2 linked regions of the Arabidopsis thaliana genome follow. The protein of the gene in region 1 interacts with the protein of each later gene in a pairwise test. Each region holds a gene or a part of one and is shown on either strand. Other genes may lie near its edges.

The links.
Region 2: the proteins of AT4G25610 (region 1) and AT1G36060 interact in a two-hybrid assay, tested with the Arabidopsis thaliana proteins (one large-scale study listed by BioGRID).

Annotation. Positions count from the first base shown.
Region 1 is NC_003075.7:13,061,193-13,067,868, forward strand, and holds AT4G25610 (C2H2-like zinc finger protein), read left to right. Parts: upstream 1-2,034; 5' UTR 2,035-2,294; exon of another isoform or gene 2,295-2,474; intron 2,475-2,599; 5' UTR 2,600-2,608; coding exon 2,609-2,753; intron 2,754-2,975; coding exon 2,976-3,103; intron 3,104-3,209; coding exon 3,210-3,254; intron 3,255-3,340; coding exon 3,341-3,394; intron 3,395-3,871; coding exon 3,872-3,976; intron 3,977-4,077; coding exon 4,078-4,281; intron 4,282-4,404; coding exon 4,405-4,490; intron 4,491-4,581; coding exon 4,582-5,396; intron 5,397-5,489; coding exon 5,490-5,668; 3' UTR 5,669-5,724; coding exon of another isoform or gene 5,725-5,778; 3' UTR 5,779-6,036; downstream 6,037-6,676. Other genes in the region: AT4G25600 (Oxoglutarate/iron-dependent oxygenase), read left to right, coding at 1-11, 89-142, 400-457, 576-748, 835-1,167; AT4G25620 (hydroxyproline-rich glycoprotein family protein), read right to left, coding at 6,255-6,676.
Region 2 is NC_003070.9:13,453,891-13,458,430, reverse strand, and holds AT1G36060 (Integrase-type DNA-binding superfamily protein), read left to right. Parts: upstream 1-2,094; 5' UTR 2,095-2,768; coding exon 2,769-3,713; 3' UTR 3,714-3,935; downstream 3,936-4,540.

The sequences.
Region 1 (6,676 bases):
TGATATCTCTGGTTAATTTCCAGTTCTTTTGTGTTTGAGATATAGTGATACATTGTTCTTTGTGTAATGGTTACTTCTTTTCTGTTAGAGAAAGGAGACTACAGAGGTTTACTCAGTGGATGCTGATGGAAAGACGCAACTTGTAAGTTCTTTGTATTCTTCAACTTTCCAATTAGATATTGTCATGTTCTTATAACACTATGTTGTAAAGACGCTAGTGTTGTTGTAGACTTTGAGATATATGTTTGGAGTTTTATGTAACACCCTTTCTCATATATTGTCAAGTTAACACAAATGATTTCACACCCTAGTATAGCAGTTTCCATCTTGGTTGATCAAAATGGCCTTTACAATTGTCATGTTCCGTTCCTTATTTTGGTATCATTTTGGATAAACTAGGATCCAGTAGTTGCTGGGATTGAAGAAAAAGTTTCTGCGTGGACTTTCCTCCCAGGAGGTAACTTTACTTATCTTGGTTTTGTAATCTACGGAGACTTTGTGATTGCTCTTGGAAGGTCTCTTTTCTTGTGGCCAAACTGCTGGCTTATGTTTCTCTCTTGACGCACATTTTTCAGAAAATGGCGGCTCTATCAAGGTAAGAAGTTACACTTCTGAGAAGTCAGGAAAGAAGTTGGATTATTTTGGAGAGGAACCTAGCTCCGTATTGCATGAATCTTTGCTGGCAACCGTCGTTCTCTACCTCTCAAACACAACTCAAGGAGGAGAGCTTCTCTTCCCAAATTCAGAGGTCAGTTTGATTTCTAACCTGAGAGGCAAAAAGATGACTTTTATTTGGCACACCACAATGAATGTTGAGTTCTCCTTTTTTTCCAGATGAAACCCAAAAACAGTTGCTTGGAGGGCGGTAACATTTTAAGACCAGTAAAAGGAAACGCAATTCTGTTCTTCACCAGGCTCTTGAATGCATCTTTGGATGGGAAAAGCACTCATTTGAGGTGCCCTGTGGTGAAAGGAGAACTGTTAGTGGCAACAAAACTGATCTATGCGAAGAAACAAGCAAGAATTGAGGAGAGTGGGGAATGCAGTGATGAAGACGAAAACTGTGGACGATGGGCTAAGCTTGGGGAGTGCAAGAAAAACCCTGTCTATATGATTGGCTCTCCTGATTACTACGGTACCTGCAGAAAGAGTTGTAACGCTTGTTGATTCTTCAATCTTATCGCAAATAATTGAACATTTTCATACTCAAGTACTTGAGCTGTTTTTGGTCTATAAGATAGAATAAATAGTGAATAGTTAAGGGTCGTGGTGGTAATTAATTCCTCTTGGCCATAGGAGAAAAGAATATACTCACTTAGATCTTCTTTGATATAACTAGAAGTCTTTGTCTATGTTGTTATCTATGTTTCTCTCGAATCATAAATTTGCATCTTGCTGTTTCTTACGCAGCATAGTCCCTTTCTCTTGCTAGTTCCAACATTTTTAAAATTGCAATTTCCTATAAATACTAGATATTTTAAAAACATATCAACCAGTGTACTTGTTGGCTAACCAAAAAAAACAAACAAATGTTTTATCACAAGTTAGAGCACTATTGATGAAAAGTTGGACTAGTTTAACATGTTATGGTCCCATCGAAGAGATTATGATCTAAGCCCAAAATTTCATAGTTTTTAAAAAATGGTAATCAAAAGTTAAGTAGTTAAGTATACAGGAAAAATTTTAAATTGTAATATTTTTTCCTATAAAAATTGGATATTTATCTGGAGAAAATAAATACTCCATTTGGTTCCATCAATTTTGAAAAAAAATCAGAAGAAAGAAAAAATTAGAAATTGTATCACTCTCCTATCATCGGACCAACAAGATCTAGACAATTGTTCATGAATCATAATTTTTGTATGTCTATCCCAATAACTTTCTTCAAACATAACAGTCTATTCTAATATCTTACATGTTAAGAAATAATAAAATAAAGGATTGATAAAGAAAAAAAAAAGTTTTTTCTTTCTTAGTTATTTTTAAAACAAAAATACAAATTTACTGATCAAATATTTGCTGGATTTTTTTGTGATTTGAGCCTCAAGGGTTGTTTTGTTTGCCCGTACTAGGCCTTTATAATTTTTCTTCCAGAGCTCTTTTGCCTCCTCCTCCTCTCTCCGAAATTTTCTCTCATTTTTCTCTCTTCTCCTTTTTTGCGTCCCATCACTTTCTCTGATTTTCTCGGCGACTTTCTTCCGTCCCAAGCTCCTCTGAATCCCCAGAAGGATCGCTCTCGATTCTTCTCTTCCTCCTATTCTCCGCCCGATCTGTTACTGTTTTTTTTTTTACTGGTACGTGATCGGACTAACCATTCTCTTCTCATGAACACACACTAAATCGATTTGAATTCATTCCTTCGTCTATACATCACTGGTATTTGATTAGATTTCAAACCGCGAATACTATGATTTCAATTCCGATTTTTCTCTGTTAGGTGGCTTAGTCATGGAGGAAATTAGGCATCTGTCTGTGTTAGTGATTTTGACGCTATTTGAATCGAATACTGTTGATTTATATAGTTGCTTAGGGGAAGAATCGGTTCAGTATATAGGTGCTTTGTTTATAGGAATTTGTGTTTTGTGAATGTATGTTGCAGTCGAATTCAATGGAGCTTGTGAAACAAGATGGGAATGATTCTCTCGATATGCTTATCAGACGTGCGGTTGGAAAGGATCCGTTTCTTTCCTTCCCTAGACCTGAAAATACTCCTGTCCAGCTTTTTCAACTTCTCCATACCTTAGAACGTCCAGGTAATGTCTCATTGTCTCTCATCTTTTTTTGGATTTGACATTTTCACTGACCAAATACTTTGGAATTTGGTGGATTGAGTACTCTGTGGATATATCGTTTTGGTCTCGAGGGGTTTATCATATTAGCTTATTGAGTTTTTTTTAGATCCAAGTGATGCTTGAATTACATGTGGCCTAGGGTATGGTACATGGACTTTATTTGATGTTCTATTTCGTTCCCAGGCTGGCCATTGCTGACCCCTTTGAAGATACAAATGCAGAAGTGTGAAAAGTGCAGTAGGGAGTTTTGCTCTCCTGTGAACTTTAGAAGACATAACCGCATGCATCGCCGTCAAAGAAAGCCGGAAAAGGTTTGCTTAGTCTGAGCTTAACTATACTTTCTTCCTTTTATGTCTTTACTGGTTGCTTTACTCTTTTCTTTGAAGTCATCTGAAGTTTGTGTTTAAATGTTACCAGGATTTTGGCAAAGAGAGGGATGCGCTGGGAGCCTTTTGGAATAAGGTAGTTTTCCCTCTAGTAGTCTTCTCACAGTTATTGCCAATTCGATTAGTTTTTCCATCAGGTACTGATCTCTGTTGTTATTTCAGCTCTCTGCAACTGATGCAAAGGAGATTCTCTCAGTAAAGAGCATGATGCTTGAGGTACTATGATTCCCATTGATGCTTTCCCTTTTACCTTTATCTTAACTTAAAACGCATGGTGATCCTCACATACGAGTGTGGCATAACATGTTCTTCAGGCCCAATTCTAATTTCATTGTTGTTTGTCACATCTTGTCTAAGGGTTTGACTTTTTATGAATGCTTTATCGCTCTTTTTTCTTCATTAGTGAAAGGTGTGATACATAATAAGCATTGTCATAAATGTTTCCTAGAATGCCATATGACTTCATCAGGGTTATGGGATTCGTTTCCAAATAAATACTTTTTCATTAAACAAAAGTAAGAGTATACCATACCAGATTCGTATACATACACTCACAGGCTTGTTGAGTATGCATATCTGATCCATGATGTACCTTTCTTACCTTCTTTTCTCTCGCATTATGCATCATGGACCTGTGTCCTGATTAAAATGATTTGTAGACTAACTCGAGATGCTTTGTTTGGATTCTTGTAGGATATTCCTGGGGCATCAGTGGAGTCAGGATTAATGTCACTTATCGAAAAACCAGGCTATACTGCTCTGCCACAATATTATCTAAGAGCTGGTTCTGGCCTTTTGGTATGAATTGCATCTCTCTCTTGACGGTTTCTTTTTCCCTGTCTAGATAAACTATCCTCAATGTTCAACCTCATGGCTGATATATGTTCCTCTTTCTCCAGGATCTTCTCCAGGCTAGACCACCTAGACTTCCAATTTCTTCGCAGGAACTTTTTAGCATTCTTGATGATGCAAGTGAAAAAACTTTCCTGTCTAGCGAGGCTGCACCAATGCAAAAGTACATTTTTGACGGGGAAATAGGAAAAACTGTACTGGAGGCAAAAAATGTTGTTGCTTGCGCAAGCTTCCTTCTGGAACAGCGATTGGTAAATTTTTCCTTCAAAGTTTCACCATTCCTCTCTAGTTGGTAAAGCGAAGTGTCTAATACGAGAACTTTACTTTTCATGTATCCATTACACGCGATTTATCTTTATATTCTTAATGTGAAGATTAAAGCATGGCTTGCTGACAAAGATGCTGAAGCTCTGAGGTGCCAAAATTTACTGGTTGAAGAGGAAGAAGCTGCTCGAAGAAGGTAAGTGCTTATTAATTGCAATGCCAGTAATATAACGTTGCTGAATCCACTAAGTGTTGAGTCTAATTCACTGGTATTATGTTCGGAGCAGAAAAGCTGAGCTCTTGGAGAGGAAGAAGAGGAAGAAGCTAAGGCAGAAAGAGCAGAGAGAGAAGGACCAGAAAAAAGATGCTAAGGAAGACGAGAGCACCACATCAGAGGAACAACAATATCCAGCTGAGCCATCAAGCCCTTTATCTGTAGCTTCTGATTCTGAGGCACAGACACCAGATTCCTTACCAATTGATGATTCTTCATCCCTCGAGGAACCTCAAGTTTTGGAAACTAATAATGGAAGAAACAGTGAAACGCAAGTGCCAATGGTTGATGGCTTAGACAATGGCCAAAACATGGAAAGGCGAAGTGGCCGTAGGCAAATGCAAAGATCACAACAGGGAATGCCGAATGGGTTCCATGCTGATCATGCACCAAACCTTGGAGGCATGCGAAAGAATGGAACCAACAGAGACGCAAGAGCCAATACTACTAAAGTTTGGAGCCGAAAATCCGATAACCCCAAATTGATATCACAACATGCAGCAGTGACTCAGCAGGATCAGACAAAGAGCAGCGAATTTATAGTTGGATCGTTGAGTGTATCAATCCGAAACAGTGGCGAACATAACCAAACCAAATGCAGTGAAGGGGAGAGAAGAACAAAGACTGTTGAGGTGAAACCCGCATCTGAGCAATCAACTGTAAAAATATGGAGACCAGTGAGCAGTCAGGGAAGAAAAACCTCAACAGTCAATGGAAACACAGACAAAGAAGATAAGAGATCAAACCCAACTACACCCGAAGTGAAAAACGCTCATCACATAAGCTTGCAGTTTAACAACCACGAAGCAAAGGCGTTTCTTGCAAAGAGTAAACCTTCTTTTACCCTTTCTTTTTATCTTAATCTCCCTATCGTTTATATTTTGGAAGTTGTTTACTCAATCTGAATAAATGGCTTGTCAGGATGGAAAGAGGCAACCTCTGCAGAACACGTGACATTGGTTCTGTCTCAGGAAACCGACATCTCAGGCAACAACACTCACGAGTCCTCAAATGGTGTTATAACCGCAAGATCAAAGCTGAGGACGAAAGCCGAAAAGGGCACAAAGGTAAAGTATGTTCCAAAACAGAGGATTCCTTGAAAACTTGAAAACAAAAAGACAAGCCTGATTCTGGACCAGAGTATCATTCTTTTTAGGTATACCAAAAGTGCAGTGTTAGCGAGCGAGACAGATATTTTCTTTGCTTCTAGAGAGATTTTTTCCCATTTTAAGAGTCTTCATTCTTTTCTTTTTTTGACTTCATATTCTTGGTAGAAAGAGATTGTTTTGTTATTTTGTTGACCTTTTTTTTTGCCATTTTGAGGGTTTAAGATTTGAAACTGAAATGGGGTTCTCAGATCTTTTGTGCAATGAATTTTTTTCTCAACACGCACACCGCGTGTAGAGCTCGCCTTTCTAACTCAAAAATGTAAGACAATATAGTAAAGAGATGATTTTTATGTTTATACATAACCAAGAAAGAATACAGTTTCTTTTCTTTTGTCAATGATAAGTCTACCATTTAAGTGTTAAAACTATTTTATATAATTAACAGTACAAAGAACAAAGACACCTACAATACCAAGCTATATATATGTATAGTTGTTAGACCCCAATCTCTTACCATATCACTGACTTTGCTTCCCATGTTAGAGGTAATGAAGAAGGTAAAAGCTATTTCTTTGTGCTAAGTATGTCCAGAGCGTAAGACTGGAAAGAAAGTCCAACTGTTTCTTGGACTGTGATCACCTTTTCCGGCGACCTTCTCATTCGCCCACCACTCCGATCGAATTTTCTCTATCATCTCTTCATTGGTGCTATCAAACTTGAATTCTTTGTTAGAGCCTGTAGAAAACGATCTTAGCTTCTGACTCTGTTCGCTCTCTGTTTCTCCCGACGTTTTACAACAGTTTGGTCTTAAATGTTCGCCGCTTGCTTTTTCATGTGAACCGGAACGGTTTAGCTTGCTTGCAAGACACCGTGCAACGTCTTCACCAGTCAACTCGAAAGAAACTCTGTGAGGAACCACGAGAGCTTCATCATTATGCCTTGACGACCCGTGGTCCGAATTGGCTAAAGACGCAACCTCAGAGATCTGACTATCCAAAA
Region 2 (4,540 bases), on another chromosome or scaffold:
AACTGTCTATAATCGCAAATGTTTACAAAAAAGAACTTTTAAAATTCATCGATTTGAATGGTTTAGAATGGTCCGAAACTTTTGAAATGTCTATTATTGATTTTAAAAGTTAGCACCGCAACCGTCCGTAAATATAAGATTTGTGAATTGTACTATTATTGATGTTTTAGGTTAAAAATGGTGTGTAAGCAAAAGAAAAGAGAGATTAATTGGGACAAAAAATCACACGCGTGAGTCTTAATTTCGAGGCGACGCCAACGTAAAGTCCAATTTCCCACTTGCAGCAAATTGCGCCTGAGATCACGTGATGCTTTCGTTCTCACGTGGCTCTTCTATCTTGCAACTTAATTATCACTTAAATCACTTATTGAAGAAGGTATTATTTCATCATTAAATTAAATTATCACTTAATTATATCACTGTTATTGTTCCAACGGTATTTGTTGACGGTTGGAGGTTTCGAGCATTATTAAGATGCTAAAATTGTCAAATTTAGTTTCAACAAAATTACTGAATTGAAAAGAGAAAACACTATTTTAGAAAACGTTTTTTTGTTAATGAAGTGTGTTAGTGGTAATTTTATGAAGCCACTCTTTCATTTTACTCATAACATCATCCATTTAAGTTCGGAGAAAATTCAAATGCAAAACATTTAGAAGTATATATTTCAAACATTTTTATTATAACAATAATTTTTCTTAACATTTCAAATATATTTATATTTTTGCGTAGAAATTTGAAAATATCACTTAATAAAACAAAATAATTTCTCTAAAACATCTTAAAGTGAAACGGAAGGAGTATAATAAAAATTGAATATACTTGCATAACAATTGGTCTTAAATGTTTTTCGATAAATCTATTTGTATAAGCATAGTAACTTAATGGTATAGTAGAAGTACTAATCGATCTCAGAAGGATGTTAACACTTTTTTTCTCAACTAATTTTCAACGACTGTTGCAAAAAGAAGGAAAAAACGTAAACACCGCAAAAATGGCAAAAAATGCGAATTGTGGCACTAAGGACATGTGACCTGGTTTCTTTGGCTAAGAACAAATGCACCTTTAACTTCTGCTCTGCATGGAATCTTCAGTCTCCACGTACGAGTCCAAGTGTCGTGCGAATGTTAATATTCAAACTCTACAATAATTATCATCAAACAATATAACCAATTCAAGTATTGATTTGTTTCCAAAATAACCGTTGTACTTATGCTTACGCAAGTCCGCAAGTTCATATTTGATATGCTTCTGTCTAGAACAGCTCTGCCCACAGTACTCCGTAGTTCGTCCGTACTCGCTACCAAGAAGAACAAATTCAACCGTATAAATGTTTATGTGGGTTTTGACCCAAAACACTTTGTCATAATCCTTGCTCAAAAAATCGTTAGGCGCTAGTCGAACGATGAGGATAGGTCTATCACCTAACAAAAAAATCAGAGATTATACGAAAATTAATCGGAAATTAAGTTTAGGGTTATTTAATATTTTTAAAACATATTCCTCCATTACAATTAAGAGAATTATATAACATTGTTTTTAGAATTGTATTAAACACATGAAAACAAGATTTTAAGTTCAAATTTATGATTTTTTCATACAAATTAGAACATAAGTTTGATGTTTTAAATTTGGATATTTAAAAAGTTGGATATTTTTAAATGTTTATCTTAAAAAATAAAAAAAAATGAAAAAAAAGTTTTGGACTAGGCATCCTCTAGACAGGTTTAAGCGGATCTATGATGAATAAATCAGATCAACGATTAATCTTTTCGATTTGGACAAAATTGCGGTAGACTCTATCCGATCAGCCGACTTTTTGAACAAGGGATTCATAACTATTCTTCGAAACATTTCACTAGTTACAACATTTATATTCAGTTTTTATTCAATTATTTTTTATACTTCTTTTTTTATATATATTTGGATCAAATATGTATCTTATATAGTGGGAGTCAAATACATTTTTTTAAAGTCAAATACGTTTTTTTAAAAGTCAAGTACATTATTTTAGGATTATTGATGTACAAACAATATTTTAATCTATCTTCATTGAACAAGCCCTCTATATAAACGGTGAGAGTTGGGTGGGTATTACCAAGGTGAGGTTGAGAGCATCTTCCAAAAGAGAGAGTGTTTGTGTGTGTGAGAGAGAGTGAGTGTGAGTGAGAGAAGAAAAAAAAAATTGAGAGATTAAAATTTGAGTGAAATTAGGGTTTATTCTCTTCTTGCTTTCTTTGCTTCGTTTCATCTTCAAACCAAAAGAAAAAAACTCTTCCATGTCCTGTCTATTCATCAGTCGTCTTTCTTGAGAAAACACAAATCACGATTTTCTTATGAAGTGTTGCTTTATGAGTTTATATTTTGCCAAAACTCATCTAAAACGACAAACTTTTGTTTAAAATTGTATTTGAAAAGTGTTTTCAAGAAAACGATATCCATCAAAAATATTATGATTTTTTCTGTCAATTAATATTCTTTCATTCTTTTATAGAGTTGATCAACTTCATGGGCATTTTTTAGTTCCCTCAAGTTTTGATCCTCTTATTTTATTTCTTTTTTTGTTGATAAATTTATTTTAGTTTTGATCTATGGAGGTTGCTTATTTCAAACCTCGTTGATCACTTTTATTTCTGTATAAACCAAAAAACCAGTCTTTGAATTTTTTCTAAAAAGACAGGTTTTATTTCTTCAACCATTTTTTAATTATAATTTTATATAATCTTGTTTTTTGTAGTACATTTTTTTTTGTATTTCAGGAAACTCCGATGGCGGATCTCTTCGGTGGTGGCCACGGCGGCGAGCTTATGGAAGCACTTCAACCTTTTTACAAAAGTGCTTCCACGTCTGCTTCAAATCCTGCGTTTGCGTCCTCAAACGATGCGTTTGCGTCTGCCCCAAACGACCTATTTTCTTCTTCTTCTTACTATAATCCTCATGCATCTTTATTCCCTTCACATTCCACAACCTCTTACCCGGATATTTATTCTGGATCCATGACCTATCCATCTTCATTCGGGTCGGATCTTCAACAACCCGAAAACTACCAATCTCAGTTCCATTACCAAAACACTATCACTTACACTCACCAAGACAACAACACTTGCATGCTTAACTTCATTGAGCCGAGCCAACCGGGTTTTATGACCCAACCGGGTCCGAGTTCGGGTTCGGTTTCAAAACCGGCTAAGCTCTATAGAGGAGTGAGGCAAAGACATTGGGGAAAATGGGTCGCGGAGATCCGTTTACCCAGGAACCGAACCCGACTTTGGCTCGGAACATTCGACACGGCTGAAGAAGCCGCGTTGGCTTATGATCGCGCCGCGTTTAAGCTTCGTGGTGACTCGGCTCGGCTTAACTTCCCAGCTCTCCGATACCAAACCGGCTCGTCTCCGTCTGATACCGGCGAATATGGTCCTATTCAAGCTGCCGTAGACGCTAAACTAGAAGCCATATTAGCTGAGCCGAAGAATCAGCCGGGCAAAACGGAGAGGACGTCGAGGAAACGAGCTAAAGCCGCGGCTTCTTCAGCTGAGCAGCCGTCAGCGCCACAACAACATTCCGGGTCGGGTGAAAGTGATGGGTCGGGTTCACCGACTTCGGATGTTATGGTGCAGGAGATGTGCCAAGAGCCAGAGATGCCATGGAATGAAAATTTCATGCTCGGCAAGTGTCCTTCTTATGAGATAGATTGGGCTTCAATTTTATCGTGAAAAATTAGGATTCAATTCATTTTTATTCATTTTAACTTGTTTGTATTTTCTTTTAAACTTTAGGGTTATTAGCTGTGCGTAAAATTTGTAATTTAGCATTTTGTATGAATGTAATGCAAGTGTGTAAATTATGGACAGCTCAAGCTTTTTTGTTCATGCCGTACCATGTAGACCCTTCTTCTTTTCTCTTAATTGAAATGAATATGGTTAGTATTACTACTATGAATATATTGTAACACATTAGAATCGTGAAGTTCCATTCTGCGACAGGACCATTGTGCTTAGCTTAGAAATGATTAAAAAGTAAATTAGTCTAAAAGGGAACAATATAGTGAAAACTTAAAATTTAAATTGCTAAATTTCTAGCTTAATATTATAAATTTTGGTCCTATTTTGAAGAAGTCAAAAGAGAAACACAAGAGTGGAAGAAAAGGATCCTTGATTGAACTTTACGTGGTATAAAGATAACCTCATACAAAGTGCCTACGTTGACGACATTCTCATGCTTTCTCTTTAGAATAGACCGAGTGATAGATAATAAGTAAAAAAAAAAGTAAAACAATTATCAAGTCTTTAAGTTAACACAAAAGATTAGATTTCTTTTTTTGTGTTTAACAATGGTAACCAAAGTGAGTTTTTTTTACGAGCAAACGTTGTCAAATGAGAAAGGAAGACTTGGATGATAAAAGTGTCCATGCAAATATAGAAACCAATTGCCAAGCCAAAGGAATGAGAGAATGCACATATATTAGGCTTGCACATTCGGGTACCGGTTTGGGTTCGACTCGAGTATTTGGATTTTGGTTTCGTACTAGGAATCGAGGTAC